2 linked regions of the Lepisosteus oculatus genome follow. The protein of the gene in region 2 purifies or fractionates together with the protein of the main gene of each other region. This does not show direct contact. Links are inferred from orthologs where the notes say so. Each region holds a gene or a part of one and is shown on either strand. Other genes may lie near its edges.

Region 1 (15,624 bases), on a different chromosome or scaffold from region 2:
GCAAATTTACAGACATCAACTGACTTACTGTAAGTAGACAAAAGCAAGAATACAGGGAGAGCACACAGATTCCACACACCAGGTTACCCAGTCCTAAAACGAACCCATGACCCAATTAGCAATGCTTGCCACATTTGGACATGGCTGTAAAAAAACGGGTGTTTTCACTAGTGGCTATATTGCATCACTAACACATTCACTGTTATAACCATTTTAATACTTTTGGGACTTCAAAGTGCCACGAGTCTACAAGTCAGAAGTGACTAAAAGCATGTGTACTGTGAGGCATTGAACACACTTAAAACAAATCACAGCTTTCATTGTTTGAACTAAAGCCTTAAACAGGGGTAACTGGGATTTCACACAACAGGTACCCAAGAGATTTTCTACCTGTGGTGACTTATATATCTAAGACATTTCAAAGACCCCAGTGCTCTGTAAAATAAACCTTGTTAACTGACAAGTAAAGCTCATTTCATTCTCAATTTGTTACATTTGTTAGCACAAAACTGAAGACCCATACAGCTGCTCGTTGTTTTTCCTCAGTGTACTATCATAATGGTTTTTAGAAGGTCTTATAATCAGCTTGTGCTGCAACACAAGCACCGCCAACTTCGGCCATCTTGGGAAGGAAATAAAAACTCAAGGGACTTTTTTATTGGCCTGGGCAGGCCTCAGCCAAGCCAGACTGGCAGCAGACTCGAGGTGTGAGACAATTGTGTACTGTATAAAAACCCCAGCCTCCAACAACTGCACGCATTCATAGTCTTGCTGTAAAACTTGCTCTTAAGTACAGAGGTAATTCCACGACACAATGCCCTTTCCACTCAGTAGTACTACGGTGATCCTTCTTCCAAACACACATTTAGAATTTGTCACAGGCCTGTCTTGACCCACGCAGAGGCACAGGTAACCAGTCGGCAACAAAAACGTACCATCTTGTAGAGACGTAGTCAGTGTATGGAGGTCGAGATCTTATTTCCCGCGCTAGGCCAAAGTCTGCTATTTTAACAAGTTCTGGTCCCATGCAAAGAAGATTTTCGGGTTTCATATCCCTGTGGAAAAACCCTAGGATGAACACAATGGTAAAATGGAACTAATCAGTGGGAGAACAAAGCACTGGCAAACATTATTATATCAATACTTAATTATAGTTAATGAAGGCCTAAACCATTCTGGAAATAATTTCACAGCGATACATTCAACTGCAATGAAGAGGACAGTTTTTGTTATCACATTCCAATTAATTATCATTCAGCTTCTTTATTTAAGAGTTACATGCCAACCCAAGTATACAAACAGTTATGTTTTCAAGCGTGCAGTGAACCATACCATGTTTATGAATAAATGCCAATCCTTGTAGTATCTGGTACATTATATTTCTCACAGCAGATTCAGGGAACAATCTACTCCTATAAATGCAAAAAATAAAGATAGAGTTTATTTATAATTTATCTGACTGCTTATACCGTACAGTATGTAAACTAGAGTAGGTGGGGAGTTGCGTCAGCATGCACAGGCTGCAGAGGAACAAGTAAAGGTTTATTCCTGCTGAAAAGAGAAGAGAGAAAACACAACGTTTCGGCTTTGGAGCCTTAAGTTGTGTTTTCTTTCTTCTCTTTTCAGCAGGAATAAACCTCTTACTTGTTCCTCTGCAGTATGTAAACTATATTTATTATAATTAATAAAATTATATCCTTACTTGAAAATGCGGAAACAGGGATATGTCCAAAGGCTTAACGCATTCTTTGTGCTAACAATTCTACATTCAATACAATCGCTGGATTAAATTTGTGATTTATATTATATTGACTATAGTGACATCAAAATATCTATTAGTTGAAAAAACGTTATACTCATCAAAAGCTAAATAAATACAAAAATACAATATAAATACAGTAAAAACAATTTTTACGTTCAGGACATCAAGGGACAGTAAAGGAAAATCTTGATCAAAATACCTGTCTTTCATCAACTGGTAAAGGTTTTCCTTCATATACTCAAACACAAAGTAGAGTTGGTCATTTTCTCTGATGACTTCCTTCAGTTTGACTACATTAGCATGATTCAGTTTCTTCAGGGACTACAGAGAAAATATAAAAGCCTTTTTAGTTTCAGGTTTACATGGGCTGCATAAAATGTAAGGTTAAATTTACAAATAATATGGCACTTGGATGAACCATTAGTACTAAACCTGAACTAGGTGTGCGTTGCTTTTTGACCACAATAATAAACAAAACTAGGCACGCAGAAGATCTTCTGGAACATCTTGATTCGTACCAGAACATTACTGCCTACGGAGCCGACGTCAACACACAGGCACACTGTTGGACCCCTTCACAAGTCGCCACAGCACAGGGGTTATGCACTGGGGGGAGGGGAGGGTGGGAGGTTCACAATCACATGCCTATGAATACAGCTCTTTGTCACGTTCTGACTGCTCACTCGAACTTGCAATTTATTTCCGAACCGAGCCAACGGAATGCCAACGTCTTACAAAATTAAAAATGCAACCATGCAGAACTGAAAGATGGGGGGGGGGGGGGGGTTTGACAGGAAGAAGGTACGCCAAGTGGCTCCGCGATCAGGAGGATTTCCCATGCACCCGAGCGCTGATGAGCTTTATCGCAGACATGCCATGACACGGGGAGGTGAAGTCACACGGGCTGCAGAGAGATGAGGAGACAGGAAGGCATGCTGGGTAGGAAACACCCAACTGCACTGCAGCAGCTCCCACTGAACAGGCATCCCTAAACCCCCCCCCACGCCCCCCACCGCAGCAGGACTCAAAGGGGGGGGCACCGTCTACGGAGTAGATTCACCCCGTGGGAAAAGAGGACCCAGCAAGACAAGTAGAGCTAAGGGTTCACATCAGATATCTACCGTATTCTCTGTGCTGGTTTCTGGGATGTGGTGACATTTAAATGGAGCATTCAGAATTGAAAGAAAAAAAGCACATACATTAGACATTCTACATTTATGACCTAGTATCTGGTTTTTTCCCCACTTAACACTGTGCCTTAGCTGCCATATGTTTAGTGCCAATGTTTTTAAGTTCAACAAAATCTGATAACGGACCTATTACAACAAAGAATGAAGAATTTCACTTTCTGAATTTTACCTAACACTTTCACCACCACTGGAACATTCATGTTGTGGATCACTCAGACATTTACACACTGCTTTGTGCCAGAATGGACCGTTCTCACAATTTACAGTTCTCCCAGCAGAAGTATTCAACCTTGCTTGCAACGAGGACATTTTATTGAGACGAGAAAAAAGAAGGCTGACACGTTACCTTAACCTCTCGCAGGTTCATGCATTCTTCCCAGGAATAGAACTTCCTTTTCATTCTAGGGGACAGATTAAAGTTGACATAATGACAGCATGAAAAACATCACACCTGTATGCATGGTCTTTGGAAGAATATACTTTCACTCCCTGTACACATACATTCTGCAAACTTCAATAACTAAAAAGAAGATGTTTACTGCGAAAGGTACTGAATTTACAAAATGCACTCTGAGCAACAGCAGGAAATGTAGTTACAAACTATGAGCTCAGAACAGATTACAAACGGTAAACTTGCTTAACTATTAAATCAATTATTCCTTTCACACCTTTTGATTATTTTATTCCTAAACTGCCTAGGACAGGTTTTCATGCAAAGATTTTAGAACTTTTACAAGTGTGCATGTTACACGCATGGGTGAGAACAAACACTGGAACACATCAGCCCAGATACGGAGCTGCTTCTAAATCTAAGACAGACCTCGTATGTAAATCATGTGATCACAAGAACCTATTCATGAAAGGCCAAAATGGCAATAAACATCATGCAACATGTTGGATATGTAACCTGAAGGCCCCCCGTATTCTTTAAGACAAAGGCTTGTAATACGAGGCTCACTTTGTGATAAACGTCTGTCAGCCTTGCACAGTTAAAAATGATTTCTCCCTTTATATGACATTTGTGGTATCTGACCAATTCAAATTCTGAAAGAGCTGATGCCCTATTCTAATCTGAATGCAAATACAGTGGCTCTGTAGTTGCTGCAAAACCCATTTAGCCAGTCCTGTACTCCCAGCTGTTAGCTCAGACACACGCTCCTGAGTGGACAGCGATGATTTATCCAGACCTATTGCCCAGAGACGGGTGCAGAATGCAGTCAGGTGATTCAGGTAAGGGGGGGCTCCATTTCAAAATTTCACTGGAAATGTGGTGACACTCATTTTATCCCAAACTTCACATTTATTATTTTGCATGAAGCATCCACCCCTCAAGGCTCATCTACAACAAGGGCAAAATTAAAGGGGTCACATTCCAATAAGTATTTTTTTTGTATTATTTCCTTCATGCTCAATTCTTATTTAAATTCTGTTTTCTGTATAAATACTTTATCTGTCATACTTGTTCCTCTTCCGGACTCATCCTGATTAAGATGTAGCAGTCTATGAGGGAACAACAGCTTAATCTCAGTATATTACACACTGTAATAGACCACTGAGCACTGGATGAGTGCAACGGCCCTCAACAAAGACTTATATACAGTATATAGGATCTTCAAAACACTGAACTTGCCTTCGTCAAAAACATTTTACCAGCTCAGGAAACATCAATTAAATCAGGGCAGGGCACTCACTTCACTTACTGCCAGATAAAATCAGCACTTGCCAGCGTTATGAAAAAATAAAATACAGAACAGCTGTTTGCAGAAAGGGTATGAGTGAAGCAAAAATAGCAAACCCTTTAAAGTCACAATTACGCCCTTTAAATGAGGTGACATTTCAATAAAAATGTGACTGGGTTAAAATGTCCCGTTTTACTGTTGACACTATTTCCAGGGAGAGGAAAGAATCTTTATAGAAACCTTGCTTGCTTACTTTTTAATAGCAACCAGTTCTCCCGACTCCAGACTCCTTCCCAGAAGAACGGACCCATAGGTCCCGTCTCCCAGCTGCTTGAGGGTCGCGTATCTATTCATGGCTCTGTCAGCATCGCCCAGGAGACGGGGGTCTGCTTCATGGAGGGTGCTCGGCTCCCTCCTGTTGAGTGCAGCCAGATCTTTCTGTGACAACAGCAGTGGACAACAGGCCGGGCTGCACACAGGACTGCAGAACTCATATTTTCACAGGCTGTCCTGGACCTGCAGAGACGAAACAGGCACAGACAGGACAAAAGACTTGACAAGCACGATCAAAAATGGGGTTTATTCTCTTAAATAAAAGTACAGTTAAATCTTCACAATATATTTCAATATTTCTAACAAACACCCTCCAAACTGACACAAATGGTGACAGTTCACATTTATACTCAAGTGCTACAAAGCTTAATAATAATGACTAACAAGTAAGTTACTGTAATATCAAGTCTAAAGTAATACTCTGGTTCATTTATTACATACAAACTCTATACTACTATGTAACATACTATTACATACTCTCTCACAGTACTAAAACCACGCTCTCATGTTTCAGTGATGGTAGCCCAGAGATAAGGCAAGCAGATGGTTCTGGAGCCTCCTTGAAGCGATACCAAATGTTTTCAGGCTCCGATCTAGAATATATTATGTTATTTTTAAATCTGGTTATAAAACCAGACCTAACAGAGAACTGTACAAGTACGCATTTCTAACACTTATCAGCAAACAAAACTACAGCTCAACACCTTCATGATCAATGACTAAACCCAAGGAAAATATCCAAGATAACCATCAGACCAATAACAGAAATACCCCGATTCCGCCAGTACAGGCAATGTTGATCTTTTTTTGTATTTCTCCCAGGAAATCATGTCTTGTTTAATGCAATGTTTTCTGGAATGCAAAATGCTAATGTTACTCCTAAGGAATTTTCTGCAACATAATGAACAATACAGACTGCTTCTCCCCGCCTTGCTAATGCTGAAGAATGTGTCCTCACAATCAAGTTAGAAAAAAGATGTATTAGCAATTCAGGAAAATCAGTTGCATGATATTCAGTGCTTGATTCTGTCGGAGACAATATTTTCACAGTGTCTTCAGCACACACATTTGCACACTATTCTCTGTAGGACACACTGATACTATCCAGGTTACTCTTTATTGCAAAGTCTACAGAGATACAGAAACAAGCTTCTGTACTAAATCTAGCTGGAAAGTGGCAACATACTGAGGTTTCTGGGGTCAGTAATAGAACAGCCCTGGGTCCCACATCTCTCTTTAACAGTGTCACAGTGCACGCCAGCACCACAGCTGGAAACAGCCTGTAAGCCTCAGATATCTCGGAACCATTCATTCATGTTTAACACTAGCATGGGAAAAGATGTCCGAATGAGCAAAACGATAGAAGGGATACTCTTTACGGCTGGTCTCTAATAAAAACTGACCGTGCTATTGAGCTGTAGCCCACGAACGGGGGGGGGGGCTGCATTTCTTCCCATTTTCATTCTGCATCTGCTCATTATTTACAACTCCCCAGTATTGAACCATCTATCACTTGGCATCCGTATAAAACTGTACCGGTATTCGCCCATGAGAATGGTCTGTAGCCCCTGAACACTGAACATGGCACTGTACGTGGTGTGATTATCTGCAAAGACACCACAACTGTCCGGGCGAATTTCCCAAATCTCGAGTTGGTGTAGGGGTAGTTGAATTCTGTATAGTAACACTTCTCCAGACTTTTCCGTTTAAAGCAAGCCAGTGATGTTCTTGCAGTAAAAAACAAACAACCCCAACATGTCTTAAAATAACTCATTAACTCGGCTGCACCTACTGTATTTCCTTGTTGGCAAATGCCAACATTTCAGATAACAGAGTTGAGGAACAGAAACGCACACCCCTGCTTTACAGATATAACAAGGGTATCAACAGAAAAGGCCAAAAATACAAGAAAGAAAAGAACAGCGGGATTATCAACAGGCGGACAGATATCACAACGCAATGATTTTTTTATCCCCGTTATTTCCATTATTACATCTGCTGTATAAAAAAAAAGCTTTTGTTTCGACTCCAGGAAACAGAGCGAAATCTCTTTTCTTATTATGTTTGGACTCACACGGAGCCATGCGTTTGATCATCAGATCGGTGAGCCCTGATTTATCCTTCGCCCCCCAAATTGCATCGGGACAAAGTTTGCACACTTCTGTGTGTCTGGACCGAGTCCTGCATTATATCACTGGACCTTCTCCAACGCTAACGGAAACGGGGCAGGCCCCCTTCGTTTGCAACGAGTAGCACCTACCTGCAGAGTTTCAACAACGCAGCGCACTGACATCTGCTTACACGCCGGTGAGCACCAACACACCCAGACAAACCCCTGGTCTTCGGGCGTCAAGCAAACATGGCGCCCGGGCTCCCAGCGGCGGAGGGCGGAGCCGCAGCGCCGCCTGCCCGCCTGCCCGTCCGCCTGCTCCATCAGCCCTGCCGTTTCTCCGGCACAAACCTCTCTGCCAAGGAAAAAAATAAAGGGGGGCGAAATATCCCTGAACACCGGCCCCCCCCCCCAAAAAAAAGCACATGCACACGGGGGGGAAAACGTTAAGGGACCCTTTGTTGTTCCAGACCGGTACAAAACCAAACCCCTAGCCTTATTGTTAGCTTCATGTTCGTATTTTAATAAACATGATCGTACAGTATATGAAATTATAGTAAACCGTATTTTTTAAAGCGCCCTTAGAAAGTGGCCTCTCACAGCGCTTTGCGGTAAGGAATAAAAAGGGGGAAGGGAAAGGAGAATTCAGGTAATATTACCGTAAGGGTCTGGAGTACAGCAGTAAGGACGGGCACAACTTGAAAACAGTCAAAGAAATAAAGCAATCATCCATCCATTTTTAATAGCTTTATTGAATACAAGGTCACCGTGGAGCTGGAGCCTAACCTGGCATGTAAATTGTGCAAAGCAGGGTACACCCAGTCAGTGCAGGGCACACAGTCACCAACACTCACACATGTCCACGGCTCCACACAGGACGCTCACAGACGTCTTTCAAACACAAGCACATCAGGACCAGGAACATGGCATCCTGCAATCTGTTTTATTTCTCTGTGATAAAAGCCACGGGTGTGTAAACTCACAGGCTGCAGTAGCAGACCAGCTGTCTTGGGCGCAAACAGGAACCCTCCCCAGGGCACAGTCACAGTCTTGACCCTTCTCAAGAGCTCGCCTCACCCGGGTGTCCACACTGGTTATTCTCTGAGCCGATTCTTAGCACTTATATGACTTGTGGTATATATATAAATGCGAAAGAACAAGTAATTGTTTTATTCCATGCTGAAAAGAGATTAAAGAAAACACAACGTTTCGGCCGTGGAGCCTTCTTCAGGTGTGAGCATTGAACTAAACCTGAACCACACCTGAACGAATTGTATACATGTCCAAGACGGTATATAATATTCTAAATTAGGTATTAACATAACTTTCCTTGATTTAAATTCTGCCTTTATATATCCTAACATATGGTCTTCTTTAATCGCTTTCTCACAGCGTCTAGAGGCGAAGAGAGACATTCATTTTCTTTTTTCAGGGTTTTAGGGTTTACTACGCCAGACGCGATCACATTGTGCACCGCGCAGACCCCACGCGTCCCCCGGCGCTCTGTCGAGCGGGCTGCGGGCCGCTTCGCGTCGCGCTCGGCTCTGCGTGTCCGCGCCGGCTCGCCGTCCCGTACGCTTCCGCGGAGGCGCCCTTCCCCTGCGGAGCTGCGCCGAGCCCCGCCAGCGACCGTCCGACATGGCTGCAATGTGGAGAGCTCGCAATTTCGCCCGCTGCGTCGTCCGCTTCTCCGACCGAGAACTGTACTAGACTGAGCCCGCTGAAAGAGAGGAGGAAGGGACCGACAGGAGACGCTCACGGCTATATCACGCAATGGTAAATAATACAACCGGGGTCGTTGCTGCGGCTCAAGTGTAAATCATAAACCAACTGGTGGCTCTGCATGACGTGTACCTAGGCGGTGTGTCAGTCACCTGGTGTTATTTACATCTCGGGTAACTATAAAAAGTAACACTGGTCAGCCTCGTACGCCAGTTTCTGCAAAGGTGCGCCTTCTGCCAATGTTGTTGGTTATTTCCACGCCATATATGTCTCGTTTTGAAGTGAATGCGGAATTGAGTTCGTACTTACAGTGAAGTTATACAAAGTAGTTGTTTGTGTAACTACATTATCTAACGTCTGCATGTTTCCCACTTGCAAGTCCAAGTATAAACGTCCTTATCTGAGCTACCAGATACTGATAAACTGCCGGACATGTCTGCTTACTGTTTACGCTACTGAATCTTGTTACAAAAGTATGAGGAAGCAGAATATATTCGTTGAAACTTTGAAACAGGTGAAACGTAAACGGTTTTCATGCTTTCCAATCAATACTATTTACAACTTGCAGATTCGAGTTTCAGCAAACTCGCTCATTTAATGCGGGGAAAGTAAGCTTAAACAAGCGAGCACCTACAAATATCTTGTTCGAATTTGACAATACTGTTTCTTAATTTACTAGCAATTATAAATACTAAAATACGACCGAAACCAGTACAAAGTAGAAACTGGGAAAGCAGATATACTTTATTATAACAGTTAAGATGCTTATCAGAGTGAAAGTGCTTATTATGTCAGACGTCTCTTAAGGATAGTTCGTTTAAACTCGACTATTAGATGAGTAACTTTGCACGTAATTACAACAAAAATTACTTAATTGCTGCATTGCATTTAAAAAAAACAAGAAAAAGTCCATCAGCAGTGAAATCGGTGTATATTTAATTTGCAAGTGTCTTATTAACAGGTCGTGCATTAGGTTTGTTTTCTGTGCTGTTGACAAACCTTGGTACTCTGTTAGATATGGATTATTGATGTGATATTCTAGGAAATACATGTACAGTCGCAATCAATGAAAATATATATACTCTTTGTTCAACCAAATATGTGATTTGGAAGCTGTTTCTCCTTTAAAACAGCCACCTGGAGAGTAGGCCCGACTGTTATACTGCAGGGCTTGTTGTGAGGCTCAAGGGACCTTCAGCTGAGGTCTGTGTATTCTCTATCCTCCCCCTGGGATGCCCAGACTAACATGTATACCTGTAACACATTGCATGTTTGCAAGCTCACGTGTCTTCATTTCAACAGGCAGAGGGTGAAATCAACTCTGCGGGTACTGTAAAAGTGGAAGAAAATGAAGAGTCAGGTGATTCTGACCTTCAGGTTAGTACCATCTCATTTTTTATGTCATGTGGTTCTTGAAATTCCTCAGTGTTCGGGCACGCATTCTTTATTAGGAACTGGTGTAAGAAAGATTCATTAGTGGTTCAGAAAGTGGTGCTGTTGTGGGTCTTTTTGATCTTGCTTCAGTACAGTCTGTAATACAGGCAAATATTCAATAAATTATCCCAAACATAGAACTAAACAACATTCGTTTGGAATTCCACTATGAAGCTGGAAATGTTGTGTTTGAGACAGATCAAAATCTAATATTGGCTTCAAGGCTTGATGTCTTATAGCCCTGAACTGACACAGGATTTTCCAACAAATGAGCAAAGCTCAAGTTTTCCACAATTAAGAATCAAATAACTCACCTACTACTCCAAAGCAACTCTTGAATTTCACATATACTTCTAGCTCATCGTGTAGAGCTTTTGAATGTGGTGTTTGCGGTGTGAGCTTCCACTTCGTGGTGAGCGTTGGACACGGATGGCACTGCAGAGTCCTTCTGGAGATCTCGAGGCACCTGCTTGTACTTCTTGGGTTGTCACCTGTAAAAAATACTTAGAACCTCAGATAGAAAAGTCAAGAAGACTGACTTACAGGGATGTGGAATGAAATGTGGACGGCGACTCGTCACAGAGCGTGGCCCGGTCAGGTGGCACTAAGGGTGACGGTGTGGTATAGAAGTCGACCCCCCGGTGTCTGGTGTCCGCAGGTGGAGCTCAGCGCCTTCCGGGCACAGTGGATGTCCGAGCTGATGCCTCCCGCCGGCTCCAGTGGTGCTAACAGGGGTCCGCTGTCACGCTCCGCGGATCTGAAACGGAAACAGGAGATGGCCCGAGAGGAAAAGGTAAAAGCAAATCAAAGCGGTTTGGCTTGCTGAAAAAGTGTGTGTGCATGCTGTACTGTATGAGCTCCTGATTGAGGAAGCATTAACCCAGCCGCTGGCATGGTCCAGCGGGCCGTGAATTTATTTTATGTGATATATAATATGATTTTATTATTTGCCCGTTATGCCCGGGCGGGTCAGGTGTTATTCAGCCCTCCCTGTCCTTGGTTTCCCCAGGAACCAATCCCATTTACACGAGGGGCTGGAGTCCACCCTCTCTCAGCCATCTCGACCAGATATTTAAACCTCAGCTTGCCACTTTCCTGGTGCTCTGCTATTGAGCAGCTGTTGGTCTGGTGATGCTCATCGCACTAAGAGTTCCTGTTTTGCGTAGGAAAGGCAGTTTACTTCTCTGCCTGCCTTAAGCGGTGCCTGTCCCAGTCCACAACTGGCATGATCCTGATCCCGCCCACCCTGTTTTCTGAGTGCGCACCAGGACGCCACCAGGCTGTCCTGTGGGTCCCGTCGGTCCCCCATCACCGCTCTGAACCAGACAGCCCTTCCATCCCTTTCACTGTGTCTCGCAGATGAATCCCTTTCTCCTCAGGCAGCGGCAAGCTGGCATAACATCGGCAGCCTAGTGTACAGCAAGTTCCCAGTCCACTTACTGGACCAAATAGTTTTGCTTTGGTCACTGGTAAGCAGTTGTTTACCAGTGACCAAATAACGTGTACATAATATAACGTGTGTGATAATGTATGTTGATTATGTGCCCTTTCTCAGGCCAGAGAACTGTTCCTGAAAGCAGTAGAGGAGGAGCAGAATGGAGCTGTTTATGAAGGTGAGTTAAGCAGTGCAGTTTTCTAAATGGGCACCACGGTGGCATTTAGTGCTTTAGTAAGTGCTGCTGCCTTACAGCTCTTGGGCCCAGGGTTTGTTTCTGGATTGGGACCCCTTTTGAGTGGAGTTTGCATGTCCTCCCTCTGTTACAGGCTTTCTCCCGGAGCCTCCCGCCCAGGGTGCAGGCCTGCTTTGTGCCCTATGCTTCTGGGACAGGCTTCGGGGTTGCTGTGACACTGTGACAAGAAAAAACAGCTTTCTGGTGGTGGATGGATGGGAGTTTTCTAAATGAGATTTGCTACCGAGAGACAGACATCACAAGTAATGTTACACCAGTCAGAGACACAGCTGTCTGAGGGTCTTTAGCATGGTCATCAACATTTGATATCCTGTATTTTCTCACATATTACTTGTGAAATCTGTAGAATCAAGATTGTTTAAACATGTTAAATGGGTGTTATTTAACCATGTGTAAAATCTTGTGGTTTCAGCTATCAAGTACTATCGAAGAGCAATGCAGCTTGTGCCTGACATTGAGTTTAAAATCAACTACACGCGGTCTCCAGATCCCGATGGAGTTGGTGTAAACTAGTATGTGAATTTATCAGTTATTAAAGGCATATTGAAAGGCTGTCTCTGGTGGAGTAATTGTAAAGTTGTAATCGTTGATGGTTTCTGTCATTGCAAATGCTAAAAAATCAACATAACTAATAATTATCTGAAATATACTACTGTCATTACATTATAAAAGTTTTTAGGAGCATTAGTATTTAAAATGATGTCAAACTTAGTATGTTTTAATGGCTGGGCTGTGGGATATGAAGGATACACAGATTCATACTATATGAAGATCTGGGACAAATATATTGAATGTTACAAATGTTGTAAATAAAGAGTAGTCTCTACCTTTATAGAAATGCAGTTAAGGTGGAACTATTGATCAGTACTGATGTAAGAAAATACCTAGTGATGAAGTGTGCTGGTGGTATCACTTAAAGGGGAACTGCGGTCTGATATTTAATTGGTTATTAAATCTTGATACCAAAATAAATTAATTGCCGTTATTAAAAAAAATGACAAACTTTGAATTAAACACAATGAACTTTGTGAAAGTACTGTAAGTTTACGTGTTGTCACAAAGCCCTGGTCTCGTCACGTGCGAGAGCGAGAGTTCCCACGAATTGCAAAGCACCTCAGCCCTTCCTGCTCGCTAGTCACTGTACTGACTAGTGTGATGCGAAGTACGAGCGACTTAAGTACAGGTTGTGCAGCAGATATTTAACCACAGAAGTGTTCAATGTGGTCTGCATGCAGAGTTAACAAGTAGGTTCCTTTTTTCGGAAAAAAAACGTCTTTAAGTCGAGAGCAATATTTTTAATGGATTAAAAGAGATGAATTCACATGTTTACAATGTAATAAGGCCGCATCATGTCACTGGAAGTTTTGTTGCCTCTTTCTGAGTCGCAGAACATGGAGGTTTTAGAAGTTACTGTGTGCGTTTTAATTTTATTGTGGTTTCTTTGTAACCCTGAAATATAAAAATAGCATTGCAGTTCCCCTTAAAATAACCAGTTACTTAAAATTGGCAAACTGAACAAAATGGTTAACCACTTGCTGTTAAAATTGGGTTAGCACTAACCCTTTAAATATCCAATTTTTATCAAGTGCCATGAAAAATACACTGCAAAATATATCCCAAATAACATCAATAACATTCTCTTTTAGCAGAAGCTAAAACTTTTTTTTCCCCAATGATTTCCGTATTTGTTTTGTGGTTTGCAGCATGGACGAGAATGAAAGTGATGGTGAGGTAGCTGATCTGCTGACCTATTTCCAGCAGCAGCTCACTTTGCAGGATTCATCTCTGAAGATCTGTCAGCCAGAAACTGATATAAGTCAGATGCACATTTCAGGTAAATCATCACCTATTCCATGAGTATCTGATCACAAAAACTTAGGAATTCTGTTTCCATTCTGCACTGCATGTCAATCAGTTCAATGTAGCAGAAAAGTGAAAAGACAGTATTAAAGAAACTGATTTATGAATGGAAATTCAAGTAAATATAATGGTGTATTAATATGGACGTTTTGTGCATATTTAATATACTATGACGTAAAGGAGGCTTCTCAAGAGCTGCATGAAAGTATGCCCATTTTTCTACACTTTAATAACTGTAATACTTTATCAGTACTGTGGAATGTTTTCACAGTCTGTTACACATGTATGAAACACGATTAGAGCACTTTTAAGGAGCACCTTAAAATAAACGATAAGTGTTTGTTTTACGTGTTTTGATGTAATTGGTGTTTGTGTAAGTTACTAGGAGGCTGTGTGGTCCTGTGCAGTTGATTGATGATCCCACTGGTTCTGTCACCAGCTCTGCCGTTGGAGGTTCTGATGTACATTTTCCGCTGGGTAGTGTCCAGTGACCTCGACCTCAGGGCACTCGAACAGCTGGCGCTCGTGTGCCGTGGCTTTTACATTTGTGCCAGGTATAAGCTTTGCAAATCTTGTCAACCACTTCTGCGTCAATGTCTAAAATCAGTGATAAGAGGTGTTATCAAGCAGTGTGGATAGGAAGATGGAAATAGAGGGGATCTGGTGCACTTTAAGAACAGTGAAAGCAAAGTAAATGCTTTGCCACTCACTCGGATGTTTTCTGCTTTAGTGTTCATGGTAACAGATGCCGGTCGCTTTAGAAAATATATTTTTAATCTGTACTTTTTCAGGGACCCGGAAATCTGGCGTTCAGCCTGTTTTCGGGTTTGGGGACGGAACTGCACCAAAACTAATCCATTTAACTCCTGGAGAGAGATGTTTTTGGAGAGGCCCCGTGTGCGGTTTGATGGTAATGTAGTGGGAGTTCATATTTTAACATGGATCTGAAAGCAGATGATTGATTCAATCATATTTCAAAAATCCATTTTTCTTTGTCCTATAGTGGCTGAGTGTACATGATGTAACAAATGTGCAATAATTCACTTAAGATACCTCACCAAAGTAGAACACAGGAAAGTTAAGGTGATGGAGCAAGGAATTAACCCAGCAGCTTTGCCAAAATGTCACAGAGCAAAAGAAAAGGCGTCTGTGGCACTGTTGATATCTCCTTGGTTAAAACTCAAGTGGCAGGATGGCATGACAACTACAGCTCCCAGATCCTGGGTTGGATATTGGAATGGGGTACCTACTGTGTGGAGTTTGCGTGTTCTTTCAATTTTCTTATGGATTTTCTTTGGGTGCTCTCATTTCCTCAGATCTTCCAGAGACCTTGTAGTAAAGTTATCTAAGGTCTCTGAATTGCTTGCTCATCTAGGTGTCCTTTCGGTGCATGTTCTGTGATTGGTTCCCATTCCTGGTCCTGTTGACCCACACTCCTGCTGGTTTTCATTCCAGCTGAGCCCTCAGTTACACAGTCAGTCCCTTCGTTGATTTAAGAGTGGTTTGCTCCGAGCTCTTAAACTTGTTTGTATTCTGTAAGTGAAATTCACCAGGACCAGGACTGAGAGCAGCTGGACTAGTGCCTGGTCAGGGAATCAGTATCACCTCGTATCCTGTGCTTCTTCAATAGGCTACAAGTAGCTTTGAATAAATGACTTTCTGATAATAGATGGTCAAAACCTAACTAGATGCAAAGGCCTTAATTTCGTGTGTCCTTCTAGGTGTCTACATCAGTAAAACAACTTACATCCGCCAAGGAGAGGAATCCCTGGATGGATTCTACAGGGCTTGGCACCAGGTGGAATACTACAGGTAGGCTTGTGTAGGAGTGAAAGAGCTGAGT
Region 2 (15,131 bases):
CTCTGTCCTGTGAGGTGTATTTATAGTCATTGCTGCTGGAATGCTGGAGGCATTATCTGTGTAGTGTTTCTGCAGCGATGTGGGGTGTGCACCCTGGCACCCAAGGCCCGCCCTGTAACAACACCTGCTGGCACGCAGGGGCTTCACAGGTTCACCTCCAGCTGTTAAGGTGGAGTCCTTTCTGCCCCCAGTGTGAGCCGTCACAGATGCTGTACAGTAGCAGTTTTTCTAAATCTCGTCTTGCGGTTCGTGAAAGCTCCGCACGTTATCTGCTTAGTGCTGCAGCCCGGAATCCTTACAGGAACTGTGTACTCCTCTCTCCTCTCTCATGTGACGCCATGCGTAGATGCAGTTGGGTGGGTCGTTTGAAGAGGCTCACGGTTCGGACCCCAGCTCTTTCTGTCTGCTTGCTTTGTGCTGAGGCATAGGAGAGCCCCAGTCCCAACAGTGATCTCCGCTCTGTGAAGGTCAAGCTGCACACAGGTTGAGGCTCCTAGGAGCTCCCAGACCACCCAGTCTTCAGGGACGCCCCACTAGTTGTGACTCACAGTGATATCGCTTACCTGCTGGTCACCCCTCTAATATCCATTTCCTCCTCTTCAACGGGCGAGATTCCTGGACGGGAGAGGTGGACGGTGGCTGACCTGGCACAGTCAGGGATGAAACTGCAGCTCCGTTTGATTAGCTTTTCCAGCTGAAATATTTATACTGTGTAAGTCCCCCACAGGGTCGGTAATTCTCTCTGCCAGGGGCCTCCTGCTGACTGCTTCCACAGAAAGAGCACTGCAATTAAAAACCCCAGACCAATCTCATCAAACGCTGTTCGCACAAAGGGTCCAGCACACACTGGCTCGTACAGTGGGTTTGTGCTGAATGCCATTCTGGGTTCAACAAACGCACCAACAGCTCCACACTCACGGGCCTAGCTCTCGTTGTTTAAGAAACAATAATCCCAGCCCGCTAAATAGCAGATCAGATGGAGAAGTGGTTTCATTTTAATTAAGGGGGAAATTCAGGAATTTGTTCATGTTGGAAGGACAGACTGGAAGTGGGGTTAACAACCTGCTTTTACGAACTGATCTTTAATGACCCCAGGAAGTGGCGACTGTCTCTCCTGAAGGTCAACACCTCCTACAGCACTCTGTCCCCAATCGCCAACTGCAAATTCCTTCGGGCCCAGAAAGAAAAGCGCCAACTACTGGTCCATTAGCACCTCCTGCAGCAGCAACCTGGTCTTGTGTAGTGGTCTCCTGTCTCGGTACTGACCTCGCCCAGCTCTGTTTCCAAGAGCTGACAAGATCAGGCTACAAAGTGGCATCGCTGCTGTTTGTTCATGAGAGCTGCCCAGTTTGGTAAAGCTCTTCTTCCCCATTATGTGAAACATTGTGAGACCTGGTCACTGTGGGGCTTCAACCAATTAAACCACAAAGCCAGCAAAACAACCTTCCCCCAGTAGACTTGTTAAAGAGATGCCCTTAGCAACCCGGTATATTTAGGTACAGAGCGCACGTCAGTGTAATAATGAACACGCCTGTAGTCTGATCTGTTTGTATAGAATCTGTTGCATTCGTCCAGCAAGATGTAAAGAGTTTGCTTCATTGCAGCGAGGGTGGGGATGGGAAGAGGGAGTTTTGGGGACTTGGAGTGGGACTGCTCCTTGAACGCTGGCTTTGTCTTCTTAGAAAGGAATGGGATTTTGCGCAGCTCTGGAAGTGTGGTTTGGCAGGCAGGGGGCTCTGATGTTGGCGCCTGTCAAGTACCCAAGGGCACGCAAAGCTGTGAATTGTAAAGCTTGTCCACTATTGAGGCTCTTACAGGTGTTTGGAACCAGACACAGAGGCCACAAGAGCACAGTGCAGACACAGTCATCCATACATCCCTGGCCTGCAGCTCACGAGAGCACAGGGCAGACACACTCATCCCTGGCCTGCAGCTCACAAGAGCACAGGGCAGACACGTTCATCCCTGGCCTGCAGCTCACAAGAGCACAGGGCAGACACGTTCATCCCTGGCCTGCAGTCACGAGAGCACAGGGCAGACACGTTCATCCCTGGCCTGCAGCTCACAAGAGCACAGGGCAGACACGTTCATCCCTGGTCTGCAGCTCACAAGAGCACAGGGCAGACACACTCATCCCTGGCCTGCAGCTCACAAGAGCACAGGGCAGACACGTTCATCCCTGGCCTGCAGCTCACAAGAGCACAGGGCAGACACGTTCATCCCTGGCCTGCAGCTCACAAGAGCACAGGGCAGACACGTTCATCCCTGGCCTGCAGCTCACAAGAGCACAGGGCAGACACGTTCATCCCTGGTCTGCAGCTCACAAGAGCACAGGGCAGACACGTTCATCCCTGGTCTGCAGCTCACAAGAGCACAGGGCAGACACGTTCATCCCTGGCCTGCAGCTCACAAGAGCACAGGGCAGACACGTTCATCCCTGGTCTGCAGCTCACAAGAGCACAGGGCAGACACGTTCATCCCTGGCCCGCAGCTCACAAGAGCACAGGGCAGACACGTTCATCCCTGGTCTGCAGCTCACAAGAGCACAGGGCAGACACGTTCATCCCTGGCCTGCAGCTCACAAGAGCACAGGGCAGACACGTTCATCCCTGGTCTGCAGCTCACAAGAGCACAGGGCAGACACGTTCATCCCTGGCCCGCAGCTCACAAGAGCACAGGGCAGACACGTTCATCCCTGGCCTGCAGCTCACGAGAGCACAGGGCAGACACGTTCATCCCTGGCCTGCAGCTCACAAGAGCACAGGGCAGACACGTTCATCCCTGGCCTGCAGCTCACAAGAGCACAGGGCAGACACGTTCATCCCTGGCCTGCAGCTCACAAGAGCACAGGGCAGACACGTTCATCCCTGGCCTGCAGCTCACAAGAGCACAGGGCAGACACACCCATCCCTGGCCTGCAGCTCACAAGAGCACATGGAAGACACACTCATCCCTGGCCTGCAGCTCACAAATATCAGCGCACGTGTGTTTGCGAAGGGCAGACAAGGACAGATGCCAGGGGTTTCTGTGAATAATGGTGGTGGTCAGATTCTGTGGTGCAGTGCCCATGCAGCACTTTTGAAGACGAGGCGGCGCAGCCTGTGGTTTTAACTCCCAGATGGCAACATTACTTTTCTGCCACTGAGGACAGAAACCTCATGTGCTTTGTCTTCTCCTAGTTTGGCCTGAAGCTACAGCTGAAAATATACTGTAGTTCATGCCCAGAGTGGGTTTCTTGTCAGCTTTTGTTGGTGACCTGTGCTTGGGGTCCTGCTTCTTACCACAGGTGCAGCACTCTGTTCTTAGCTCCGACACTTTACACAAAGAAGCCAGATCTTTTAGAGCAAGATCATGGTGCACCACAGCACCTGGGCAGAACGGCGCTATCACTGAGCCTGGCACCACTAATATATCGGATTTACAAATGAGCGGCGTTCACATCACAGATAATTTCTTCCTTCTGATGCTGTGCAAAGTAGGGGGGGGGTATCTGTGTTTTCTTGTAAGCCAGTCCTCTTCAGTAACGGCTCTGTGTAGCATTGTCTGCCTTGCAGATCCTCTGCCACATGAAACGGTACGGCACTCTTTGAATGTGCAGTGACTCTGATCCCCCAAGCCCCACCATCTGCTTGTGGAATCAATGGTATTTTAATTGCTCTGTGGTTCCTGCTTCGCTCTGATTAGAGCTTGCAGCCTGTGTCTCAGGGAGCCGTGATCAAGTCGCGGCTTTTACAACTCTGTGCCGTTCTGCCTCTGCCCTACTTAATCACCTCCTAACTTCAGGTAAAGAGCCGAAACTGGTCTGCGTCAGTCTCAGGGAGAAGACGCGTATTCAATACACAGGATGTGGCGAGATCTTTTTTTTTTTTTTACATGCATGTTCAGTGAAGGTGGTATTCATCCGCCTTGCGTCTCGGAATCTATCTATACATCTTGGAGAGGTTGTTGTGCTACACGGGTTTTGGGAAGGGTGTCGTCTTGTTTTCCTGTGCGAGAAACCTCAAGACGCGGTTTTAAAGGTCTCGGCGCGTGTGGCTGGCGCCGCTGTTACGGCACAGAACTGGATGAGAAATGTGAAGTTTGTTTTTCATGTTGGGTTTGCGATGTGGGGCGGTGGGAGTCTTGAATGAGCAGTGTCACCCGTGTGAGCGTGAATCTGTCACTCATCTGTCCAATCCCACAATCCCATGGAGCGGGCTTTGCCTCTTCAGTAGGCAGCATGCCTCTCCTTTACGGTACAAGTGTGCAAGTTCATTGTGTGTGCAGAGGTCAGGATGTCTAGGGAAACAAATGTGTTTTGTTTTTTTTTCCCTCATCGCCAACATGAAATCTGTTGTAGACGAATCTGGAGTATTTAAAAGCTTAGCAATCTCCCTTTCCCAGCCGCACTGAAAACACAGAATAAGTGGTCTGCGGATGGGTCACTCTACAGAGCCTTTGGAGAGAGTGGCTGTATATCTCCGGCAGGTCCGATTTGAGAAAGCACAGGCTTCCCGGCCCACTAGTGTCCTGCAGCTGTTGACGAGGGATTTGACCAGCCTCTGCAAGGTCACAGACATCTCGCGGGAATTTTCAGATGCTGCTAGGATGTCAAGTGCTTGATCCAGGAGTGCTGTGCGGCTTCTTAACGCAGTGTGTGTCTTTCTGCCCCTCTGTGCTCCCGACGGCAGGAAGGAGTTTGTGGAGGGCTGCAAGGCCATCAGGGCGGACAGCCTGGAGGGGATCCACGCGCGCTTCCCCTGCCTGCTGCGCGAGGCCCAGGCGGAGGAGCAGTTCAAGGACCTGTACCGCTTCACCTTCCAGTTCGGGCTGGACTCGGAGGAGGGCCAGCGGTCACTGCACCGCGACATCGCCATCGCGCTCTGGCGGCTGGTCTTCACCCAGAACACGCCCTGCATCCTGGAGCGCTGGCTGGACTTCCTGACGGAGAACCCGTCGGGCGTGAAGGGCATCTCCCGGGACACGTGGAACATGTTCCTCAACTTTACTCAGGTGATCGGGCCCGACCTCGGCAACTACAGCGAGGACGAGGCCTGGCCCAGCCTCTTCGACACCTTCGTGGAGTGGGAGATGGAGAGGAGGAGGAAGGAGGAGAGGAGGAGCGCAGCGGCGCTGGAGCAGCTGGACAGGGGGAGCGAGGGGGGGGGCGCCGACTGAGCCCGTCCGCCTGCAGGAGAGGGGAGAGGGGCCTAGTAAACTCTGGATCTCTGAAAACTCCGATGAAGATTAACGTTATTGTTCCTATTATTATTATTGTTGTTGTTGTTATTATTATTATTATTATTATTATTATTATTATTATGATTGTTTTTTTTTTCCTCTCTTTTATTTTCGAGGGACAGGGGTGGGGTTTTAATCTCTCCAGCACCTGCGTATGCCTTGTGTTTTTCGAAAGGGCTCCAAAAATACTGTATGGTTTTTTTCCCCCCAGGCACTTTTTTTAAAAAATTAATTTAATTTCTTTTTTTTAATGGGTTTGGTTTTAAAAAAAAAAAATCGGACACGCGCCGCCCCCAGCCCCCAATCCCCCCCCCCACCCCCACACTGGCTCCTCCGTCTCTCCCTCCCGGGTCACTCAGACCCCTCTCGCCGGCCCAGACTGACCAACGGACCGCCCAGCCTCCTGGCTCCCCTCCGCTCTCGCCCGTCCTGTTCCTCCTGTGTCCGTTCTGGAAAGGGTTTGGTATTCCGGTCACTACAGTGCCAGAGCTCGTGTGTTTTCGGGGGGGCGGGGGGGGGCAGTCCTGTACCTGGTGGTATAGTGCCGTTTACAACCCGCCACAGCGGCTCCCGTCTTCTGTTTTTTGGGTTTTGTTTCTTTTTTTTTTTAATATAAAAAAAAATGCAGTGGTTTATATTAAAAAAAAATAAAACAGTGTTAATCATTTAAAAGCCGTTCCTTGCATAATTAAAAACTGGACCCTGAAACGCCACCGGGCCTGTCCACGCCCCCCGTGTTTTTTTTAAACCTGCCGTGCTGTGAGCTGGGAAGGGGGGTCCCCAGACTTCCTGGCAAATCCCGGGGAGTGGGCTTCAGGCTGGGCACCGCCCTCGTGGCGGGACGGTTGTTCTAGGGATGCATGTCCCTTTTTTTGTCCGGATCGGGCCAAGCTGAGTGCTGGACCTTGTGCCGCGGGGTGGTGATATCTGGGCTCCTCTGAGCTTGTGGGGACCCAGTGTGAGGAAGTGGTTCACAAGGACAGCCCGGCCGCAGTGTGCTGGGGGTGAGCGGGTGTTCAGCAAGTGCGGAGGGGTGATGGCTGACTGCCTGTGTTTTCATGAGATGACTGTACTGTACACACAGTACCAGTACTCGTGCCCACTGTACGGACCGTGTGTGATCTTCATGGCCAGCTGGCCCTCTTCAGCACCTCCTGAACAGCCAGGAGAACCCAAGTGCACTGAGAGGATGGGCCCAGCCAGCACTGCTGCAAGTACACTTGGCCAGAGCTGTGTTGGTGCCCCGACTTCCCTGGCCTGCAGGGTGGCGGTACGGTCAGTGTGGGGGCGCCCCTTGCCAGCGGGGGGGAGCCCGTTGTCCTAGCTGCCTGCAGAGTGCGCCTGGACAGTCCGGGTGGGCAGCTTGGAGGGGTGGTCACTCTCCCCTGCACGTCCCTCACGTGTGGCCGCACAGGAAGAACCAGCGAAGGGGGCTGCGAACAGAGGCCCCTCGCTCCGTATGGTCCCCCGGGGAGCCTGCGTGTGTTCAGCGGTGCTCAGCTCCAGGGCCCCAGGGGAGCGCTCGGTGGGGAATTACCCAGCGCACAGCAGGAACGCCGCGGTGCTTCGGCACGTGACAACTGACAGACCGGAGGGCAGCAAGCCAACAGAAAAACACATCCGCACCGGAGAGGGATGGCCTATATATAGGGGGGCGGCTGTCAGAAGGCGAGTGCAGTTTGGTTTTAAATCATCTGGAGGCCAATGCCCATTTGCAGCAGTCATTAACAGCACAGTGTGCACTCCTGGAATGAGTGGCTGTGGCACTCTGGAGAGATCAGGGCAGGTGTGTGAGCCCCACACTTGTTTACTGCTGCGCCTGCCCATCTCCTGCGCTGCAGCTGTCTGGTGCCGGTTGAGCGGGCCGCGGGGACACACCTGCAGGAGGTTGTTTTTCTTCCTTCTGAGAAATGAAGGGGAACAAGCGCCGCGGTACACGTCACTGGCGCTAGTCCAGGTGAGCGCTCCAGTTCAGCACACCCGGTGACACCGTGTCCTTGCGTTTGGGTGGAAGAGTGTGAAAATGGCTGAACTGGGAGGTTAGGTCATGTTTGTTAGATGTCAAGTAATAAACCAAGGTTTAAATGAAGAGTTCTCCAATCCGCTTTGATAACCTGGATGGGTGTAACCTTGACTAACGGTTTGTTTCCATTTGCTCCTGCACAGCGCTGAAGAATCGGTACAGGTCCTCTCAGCAGCTTCATTAAACACCGAAGGAGGCTTCAGAGGCTCTACGGTACTTTCCCCTTGACTTGCACAGCGTTTGTAAGAGTGTATTTGCAGAAAAATAAATTAGCCAGTATCAAAAACTGAAATGCCATCAGTGTAGCCCAAGGAGGCTGGCTTTGGTGAAGGGCAGGGACACTAGCTGCTGAGGGACGAAGCACAGGAGAGGTGGGACCACCTTAAAGCCTCTTTATTCTGCTTTTGGATGTTATGTAACCCCACAAATTCTGTTTCCTGGTATCCCTAGATCATGCAAGACAAATTCCTGGATTATCGTGAGAGTAAATGGATTGGTATTTTGACAAACTGTAAGAGGATGTCAGTGCTGATACCCTCAGCTTCAACGCATGTTGTTTTGCACAAAATTGCCAACAAAAAAAGGCAACACAGATCTGTCAGTTTCACGTGTGCCATCATATGATAAGCCTTTAAAATAGGATCTAAAAACAGCTTCCACAGTTGTATAATTTTCATTAAGTCTCATGCTGTTAAATAACTTAAAAGTGCAGTAAAAATGCTTTCCAACAGTAAAATGACCAGAGCTGTCCACTTAAAGACATACAGTCTTAGTGGAAATTCTTTTTTTAGTACATGGTAATGTAATAAATCTATTTTGAGTTTTTTTTTATCTTGAGTATAAATATTCTAGAAATATCCGTTTTTCACAAGACTCACTGGAGGAGATTCTAGGATCAATCAACTATCTAGCAAGCAAATGAGCTAAATGCTCTGAATGGCCACCTGTTCTTGAGCTGTCTGGTCTGTTTTTCTGCAAGTAGGCTTGGTGTTCAACAGCCCCTGTTGTGCTGCGCAGTTGCCGATATTCGGGGGGGTCATCCTCTGGAGAAGAGATCTGATCGAGGGGAGCCCCCAATCCGGTTCCTCCTCCTCCTAGGGCACCTGATTTTAAAGATTCACCACACCTGTGGGTTATTGATGACTCAGGAAATCTAGTACTTGAGGATTAGTGAGTTCTTAGATTTTAGTATTGAATTATCTCTATTACAAATCACCTGTTTAATTGATCACTTTAGAATTGATAGATGTTTTTTCATCTCTTATCTTTCTTTAGTTCTTTTTATAATACTTCTTTTCCTCTTTTTTGTGTTTTTGTTTTTGCTCTGTAAAGCATCCCAAACTCTGCTTGGTATACATGGGCACTGGAATAAATCTGTGTCATTGTTCAAGGGAAATTGGAAATGGGTGATTTAACAGTGACCTACAAAACCTGCTGGTGTGGGGCTCCCCAGGACCAGTGTTGGCACCCCAGTGTTGTGGTTTACGCAGTAGAAGGATCTTGGATTTAAATTTTATGCCATTATAGGACATTAAACTTTCCAAGACCTTAATTGCTCAATTAACCCAGGAGCTGAGGACCACTTAAATAATTATGGATTATTAATGGCCAAGGGTCCAGGTGCCAAGTTGGACCATCACCTGTGACATGCCTATGGAAAACAGCTGAAGCAAAGGATAACTTCAAGAGTAACATGTCAACACACACTGTAACGGAAGTTAATGTACTGTCTGTACTGCCCTCTGGCGGCCAGTATTGAAACGGCAAGCAAAGTTTTGTTTTCTTAATTGGATTCTGCATGTTTCCAACATGCAGCTGGGAAGTGAAGATCCGAATTTGAACACATAACCTTCAAAAGTAATTAAGACAGAGCCCGATCCACCGTCGGCTCCAGATTTAAAATACTGCTGCTGATTTTTAATTCCCTGCCAGCGCACATGGCCTTATAATTTGCTGTAAAGGTGAAGTGTTGTGGGTCCCATCTCAGTGACGTCAGCCAGCGGTCTTCACCAAGGGGGCGTGGCGAATCCCGGGTCTCCCTGCAGACTCATTGGTCAGCGCGCCATTGCCAGGGGGCGGGGCGGAGTGGCGATTGGCTAGCGGCTCTCTTGGTTACCAGCATGACAACGCGGACGGGGCTGTGAACGCGTCCCCATTGAAAACACACTTGGAGTCTGTTATCACCTCGTCAAGGCGATGACATGGACTGTAAGTTTGATCTTTTACATTTGGACACGCCGATTTCTGCTCGATCTTTCTCGTTTCTGCGAGAAATGCGATCCGAGCACGAATGCAGACACCTGAGCGTGTGTGGTGTGTTTATAAGCTATGTGTAGCTAACGTTTTAAAGAAACAAAAACGCAGGTCAAAAACTGTATTTTAAAGTTCACTTCCGTCTTAATCGTCCACACGGCTCTATGTGTTAAAGTAGTTTGTTTCCTTAGACTACAGTTTTCGTTGTCGCTACACAGATTGGTGTAGGCCCTGGCTGTAGCCGCGGGGTGGAGTTGTCTTTCACTGCGGGTGAGGTGTCCGTCCGCCCGGGCGGGGCCGCAGAGGGAGAGGGCGGCAACACCGACGCCTTGCAGACCCGCAGATTGCGTTTTACATGTTGATTTTTTTTTCTTGTCTGGTCACTTACAGAGTCATGCGTTTAAAAATGTTTCTTTCTCTGTCTGATGTTTTAAACGAATCCAGGCAAATTCGACAGGGGCGGCGCCAGCCCGGCGGAGATGGAAGAGGTAATTTCTTGTGTGTTTTTTTTTGACAGCGAATACTTCAGCGTGAGTCGAGGTGGGCTTGCTCCACTCAAATAGCAGCGCTGTTAAAATAATGGGGGGTGGCGATGGGGGGGTCGATTATGCGACTACTGATGCTTATCGCTGCGCACGGGGTATTGATTTCAGTCGATCACAAATTATAGCTGGGGTCGCATCTCGTCGGAGAAGGGTATGGTGGCGTGGAATGACTGTCCTCCGACTGGACACTGGTCCAGCGAGCTAGGCCCAAGTATGGGCTCCAGGATGTACAGCCGGGGAGAGGGTGGTCTCTGCTGGTGACACACGCATGAATACTACGTGTCTGGCTGTCTTGTCATTTTTCTTGCTTGCTCTGTTTTCTGCTGCGTGCTATCTGATGTGCCTCTCTTCATGTTCCCTCTCCTCTCTCCTTCCCTGCTCCTCTGTCTTGCAGATGCTGTAGTTGCCTGTCAGGGATTGAGTAAGGGGGTCTCTCTTCTCCTGTTTGTCCTGTGTGATGTTCTGGTCCTTTCCTGGGCTGAGCTGGGCTAAGCTCCGAGGGGGGGAAATATTTGCCGTCTTTTTCATTTGTTTAGAAGGTCTTGCTTCACCCCATACGTGTGCTTTATACCCCACTAAGCAAAACGGTTGCTTCAGTGTAAATTTGAACACATTCTTCAACAGTTCCGTGGCATTAAATTGCACATTCTAGCCATTGAGCTCCTGCTCAGCGTCAGAGAGTATTGTCCCTTCTGCCAGGTGTAGCATTCCCCTTGTTTCTCATCTGTGAGGTCAGCAGTTCAGTCCTCTGCTGGTCGAGACTGCAGGGTGTTTGCATGACTCTCCTGGCGGTTGAAAGCAGTATCTTCCTGTCCTGCAGGTTTTCCACGTACAACAGTGAAGTCCGCATAAAATGCGTAAAACTGGCTGCTGGAATTTTTCCAAATACACCGCTTTTCAATATTCAAACACGCTCCAGCAGACTCAAATGGAGAGCAGTTTATCTGTTCTTTTCTGATTGTCAGTTTCTAAGAATATGCTTCTTGGAGAACTTTTGCATTTTACCCAGTACTTACGTTCCCTGCCATGCGCCGAGCTTGCCTGATTCCCCTGTTGTGTGTCCTGCGATGGCACGTTCTTGCTTTTGAAAATGTGTGTAGGAAAGGCCGAGCCATGCAGTAATCAGCACTGTTTTGCTTTCATTCGATGTGTTTGTGAAGAGCTGGCATGGAATCGAAGCGGGGAAGCACGCTGCCTCGGATATTGAAGAAAAACACGATGAATATTTAATCGCTCTTCAACACAGGAACAGGTGAGGCGTGACGGTTGTGCTGTGACTCTTTTGCCACCCAGTCTACTGTTACAGAGTCAGAGGGCGGCCGCTTGTCAAATACACCCCCAGCTGGCTGAGGTGACACCTCGGAGAGCCAGGCTCGCACACAAAATGTGGGGTGTCTGGGACAACCCCAGAAGAAAGCCGCCGTTGTCTACTCGAACAAATGTTTTCAACTTTACGGAATAACATTTCAGACATACTCATGAGACTTTATGTTCATTTTAAGATTTTGGAAAAACCTGAGCTGAAATCTCTCCTACAGTGCAGTGTAAAGCACACTGAGAATTCGTGCGGCAGCATGTGATTTCCCTTTGTGGGCCTGAATCTGTAGCGCTGGGTTGTCCCTTTCACCCGCCACTCCAGTCCAGCCGACTGCAGCCCTGTGGGGAAAGCAAGAGTCCCGTCTGTGACCAGCAGGTTTGCTCCTGCTCAGCAGTGCTGTGTTCCTGCCCGCCAGGATCCTGAAGCGCCTGAAGGCCAAGAACTCCAGGGAGATCGCGCTGGAGCGCTTGGAGCAGGGATTCTCCATTTATGTGAACGGCGCCAATTCCAGACCGACGGGGCAGCCGAAGAACCCGGCCCCCCCGCCCTGCACCCCGTCTGCCTCCAGAACGACACAAACGGCAGGTGAGCAGGGACGCCCACGTTTTCCTCTGCCCACTTGGGTTTTGTGCATTTCACTTTTATCATCTTCCTCAGTCATGCTCCGTGCTTTCAAAGCCTGGTATATGCCGCGCTTTTCCGATCGGCTGGGTCCGGGTGGGAGACCTTTCTCCGAAGGACACCTCTCCTGTACGGAGCCGGAAGAGCAAATCTGCAGCGGGTGCTTTGTCGTGGTTCCCCCAGATGCATCTCAGGGGCGTTTCCTCCTGGAGGACGACCTGCAGGATTCGGAAGTGACCCAGAGGCGGAGAAGCCAGACAGCTCCCGGGAAGGTCCAGAGGAAGGAATGGGTGCAGGTAGAGTATCCTGTCTGTGAAAAGGCTCGTATGGATACGTTGGATTAAGGTAGCACGGGCTCCTCTTGCTTGCCAGCCTGTCCCCTGTCCCGGGTGTATTCCTGCCTGCGCTGGTCCTGGGATAGGCTCCGGATTGCCCCAGCCTGTTCTTGGGATTAAGTGGCTTTCTGCCGACGGACGGGACTATTATTCCTTGAACCAGGTCCAGATGTCATTTTCCTATGGCTTGTTCCTGACTCGTGTGATGCCAAGGAATAAAGAACATTTGAATCTGAGACAGACGTCCCCTTGTATTCTTCTCTGCCTTTCTTCGTCTGTGAATTCAGAAGCCTGCGAGTGTGTTTAACGGTGAATCCAGTTAAGCGTAAAACCCTGTGTTTCGATGCACCATTCGTGTTTGTGCGCTGTCTTGTCGACATGCGTGCCGAGGTGTGATTTAGCATTCTTGATCATTCCACAGAATGACTTTGTTGGTGCGGAAAGACTGGTGTAATTTCAGCAGGAGAGTATCAACTTTACGTTTACAGTAAGCTCCTTCACAATAAGCCTTTGAGGAGCAAAGCAATGATCATTTTCAGCTGCTGACATGCTTCTGGGGGATAATTGCTTATCTGGCAGCTATTCATTACTGTGGCAGAGTAGGTGGAGCTGAAGGGAGCTCAATCAAATGTGTCCAGTGCTTTAGAAATTTCCAGGATACAATGTTTTCCCCGGCTTGTCTGTCATTGTTTGGCAACGCAGCCGAGTGTAAATTATCCTAATTGCATTGTCATGCTCGGAGAGAGGAGTCTCTTTGTCACTGCTGTCGGTCTCCACTGAATTGAGTTGTAGAGGGCGGGATTATCGGGCACGATGGGTTCTAAAAGCTGCTCGTTTCCCTCACAGAATTCCATCCACATTAAGACGGAGAAGGGATCCCGGATTCGGATCGGTCCTGGTCCCCGTTACTCTGATGATTTTGAGGCCTACGAGAGTGTGAACATGGAGGTACGGTCTGCCCTGTGAGGTCTGACATGTGAAGTGAGGCTTTATTGCACATCTGGGTATCTAAGACACAGTCCTGTAAGTTAGCCAGACCTTGGCTTTGGGCAGTAGTTAATAGAGGGACTGTCTCTGGATGCTGCATGACCCAGAGGTATGGGATGTCACTAAATGTTTACATGCAGTGCAGTGTCCTTTCCTCTCTGAATATTTTACAAAGTAATGAACGCTCCATTCTGCGCCAGGTGATGTATAGCATTTACATGAAAGGGGGAAGTAGACGGATGTATCTCCATACAGTACGTCTTCCTCCTCTGGCAATTGCAGTGTGTAAAGAAAATACAGGAGAGCACACTGGTGCTTCTTTGTGATCAGTTTGGTCATCTGCTTGGATTGCGTGATGGGACGCGTCTTGCGCTGTGTTTGGCGTGTAACCGGGTTTCCTCCTCCTCCTCCTCCTGTCCAGACGTCCGGTGCCCAGTCTCCACGGCGGGAGAGCTGGAACGTGCCCAGGGCCTTCAGCGCCAAGGCGGAGGCCCGGATGGGCAGGAGCGAGCCCGGATGCAGTGAGAAAGTCTTGCTCAACATCGATGAGGTCAAGGTCAGCACATCGCCTCCTGTGCCACTGGTGGATCCTACCTGTGACATTACTTTGAGCTCAGCTGTATTATCGGGGTTATCGCCGATGCCTCCAGTCTTTTCCTCAGGCTCGAGGAGTACCTTCTTGCTTGCTTCCACTGGATAGAGCTCTTCTGATTTTCTTAGCGTCTGTTCTCTTAGCTTTAGTAAATCACAGCGTGAAAAGCACACCAAATGTCTTTACGTCTTGCAGCTCATCAGCTCTGTGTATTACATGCCCGCCTGTATCAAGCCTCAGCGCCGCATTTCTTGATCCGGTGCCCAGCATGAAGGCCACTTAACACCTGCTCTACTTACAGTTCCCATTTGTCACAGATCTCATGTTGCAGAGCGAAGAGGCCATTCGGTCCATCCAGCCCATTTCGTTAGTAGCTAATTGATGCCAGGATCTCATCCAGCTATTTTATTGAAACTAACCAGGGTATCGGCTTCAACCACATGGCTGGGTAGCTTGTTCCACTCTCCCACCACCCTGTTTCGTCCTGTATCGGGCCAGGCCGGTTCAGGAGCGGGTTTGCTAAGTCTTGCCCCGTCGGTTCTGCGCCCCGCAGGTGCTGCGCCAGAGCCTGGAGGCGGGCGTGTGCGTGCGCCGGGGCAGCCGCGACTCGGCGGGGGAGGAGTCGGACGCCGGCGAGGAGGACTGGGTGGAGGAGCGGATCGAGGGGGAGGGGAGCTCGGCGCGGGTGGAGCAGGGGAGCGCGGCGGGGGGGAGCGTCCTGGAGCCCGGAGACCTCATAGTCCTCGACTTCGGGCCCTCGCCCTCAAGTACGTGTTCCAGGCCTGCGCCTTTGAGTCCGTGCTCCTCAAAATAGCATTGCACGGGAGGTGTTGTAAGGGCATGCTGCTGAAATCATGCTGCCCAGAGGACAGGCCAGGAGCTGACTTTGCCAGTCCCTTCCTGTCTAATTATGACACCCAATCCGTGTCTTTCAAGGGCAGCTTCCCCCTTGCCTTTGCAGGTACCAAAAAAGAGCGACTCCTGTCGGCGAAGAGGCGGGACAACATCGACGCGTACATCCCGACCAAGCCCCTGATGGTGAAGGGCAGAGCCTGCGACAGGCCTCCCCGCTCTCCGGCCCAGGATCCTGCGAGTAAGGGGCTCCTCCGCCTGGCTCTCTGTCAGAAGATCAGCTGTGTGTTCTCCCCAGGTGCTTGGGGAGCTCTCCTGTTAGTTTAGCACATGCAGAGCTACACACAGGGGAAGGACAGAGGCAGTGCGAGGCTGGGTGTGTTTG

Evidence for each region.
Region 1: the proteins of katnip (region 2) and cilk1 purify together in Homo sapiens (affinity purification with mass spectrometry; 3 studies listed by BioGRID and IntAct, with this or other methods). This does not show direct contact. The link is inferred for Lepisosteus oculatus from reciprocal best matches to the Homo sapiens genes KATNIP and CILK1.

The regions. Positions count from the first base shown.
Region 1 is NC_090712.1:19,306,284-19,321,907, forward strand, and holds the start of cilk1 (serine/threonine-protein kinase ICK), read right to left. Parts: upstream 7,406-15,624; 5' UTR 7,225-7,405; intron 5,148-7,224; 5' UTR 4,986-5,147; coding exon 4,885-4,985; intron 3,354-4,884; coding exon 3,299-3,353; intron 2,904-3,298; exon of another isoform or gene 2,884-2,903; intron 2,084-2,883; coding exon 1,962-2,083; intron 1,413-1,961; coding exon 1,333-1,412; intron 1,069-1,332; coding exon 936-1,068; intron 1-935. Other genes in the region: fbxo9 (F-box only protein 9), read left to right, coding at 8,848-8,850, 10,099-10,173, 10,889-11,023, 11,786-11,843, 12,334-12,433, 13,625-13,755, 14,221-14,335, 14,573-14,691 and 1 more.
Region 2 is NC_090714.1:16,332,195-16,347,325, reverse strand, and holds the start of katnip (katanin-interacting protein), read left to right. Parts: upstream 1-8,788; 5' UTR 8,789-9,444; coding exon 9,445-9,451; intron 9,452-9,470; exon of another isoform or gene 9,471-9,766; intron 9,767-9,940; coding exon 9,941-9,984; intron 9,985-11,201; coding exon 11,202-11,293; intron 11,294-11,774; coding exon 11,775-11,944; intron 11,945-12,163; coding exon 12,164-12,276; intron 12,277-13,161; coding exon 13,162-13,263; intron 13,264-13,723; coding exon 13,724-13,858; intron 13,859-14,447; coding exon 14,448-14,661; intron 14,662-14,855; coding exon 14,856-14,987; intron 14,988-15,131. Other genes in the region: dcun1d3 (DCN1-like protein 3), read left to right, coding at 4,671-5,157. UniProt on the Homo sapiens protein: May influence the stability of microtubules (MT), possibly through interaction with the MT-severing katanin complex.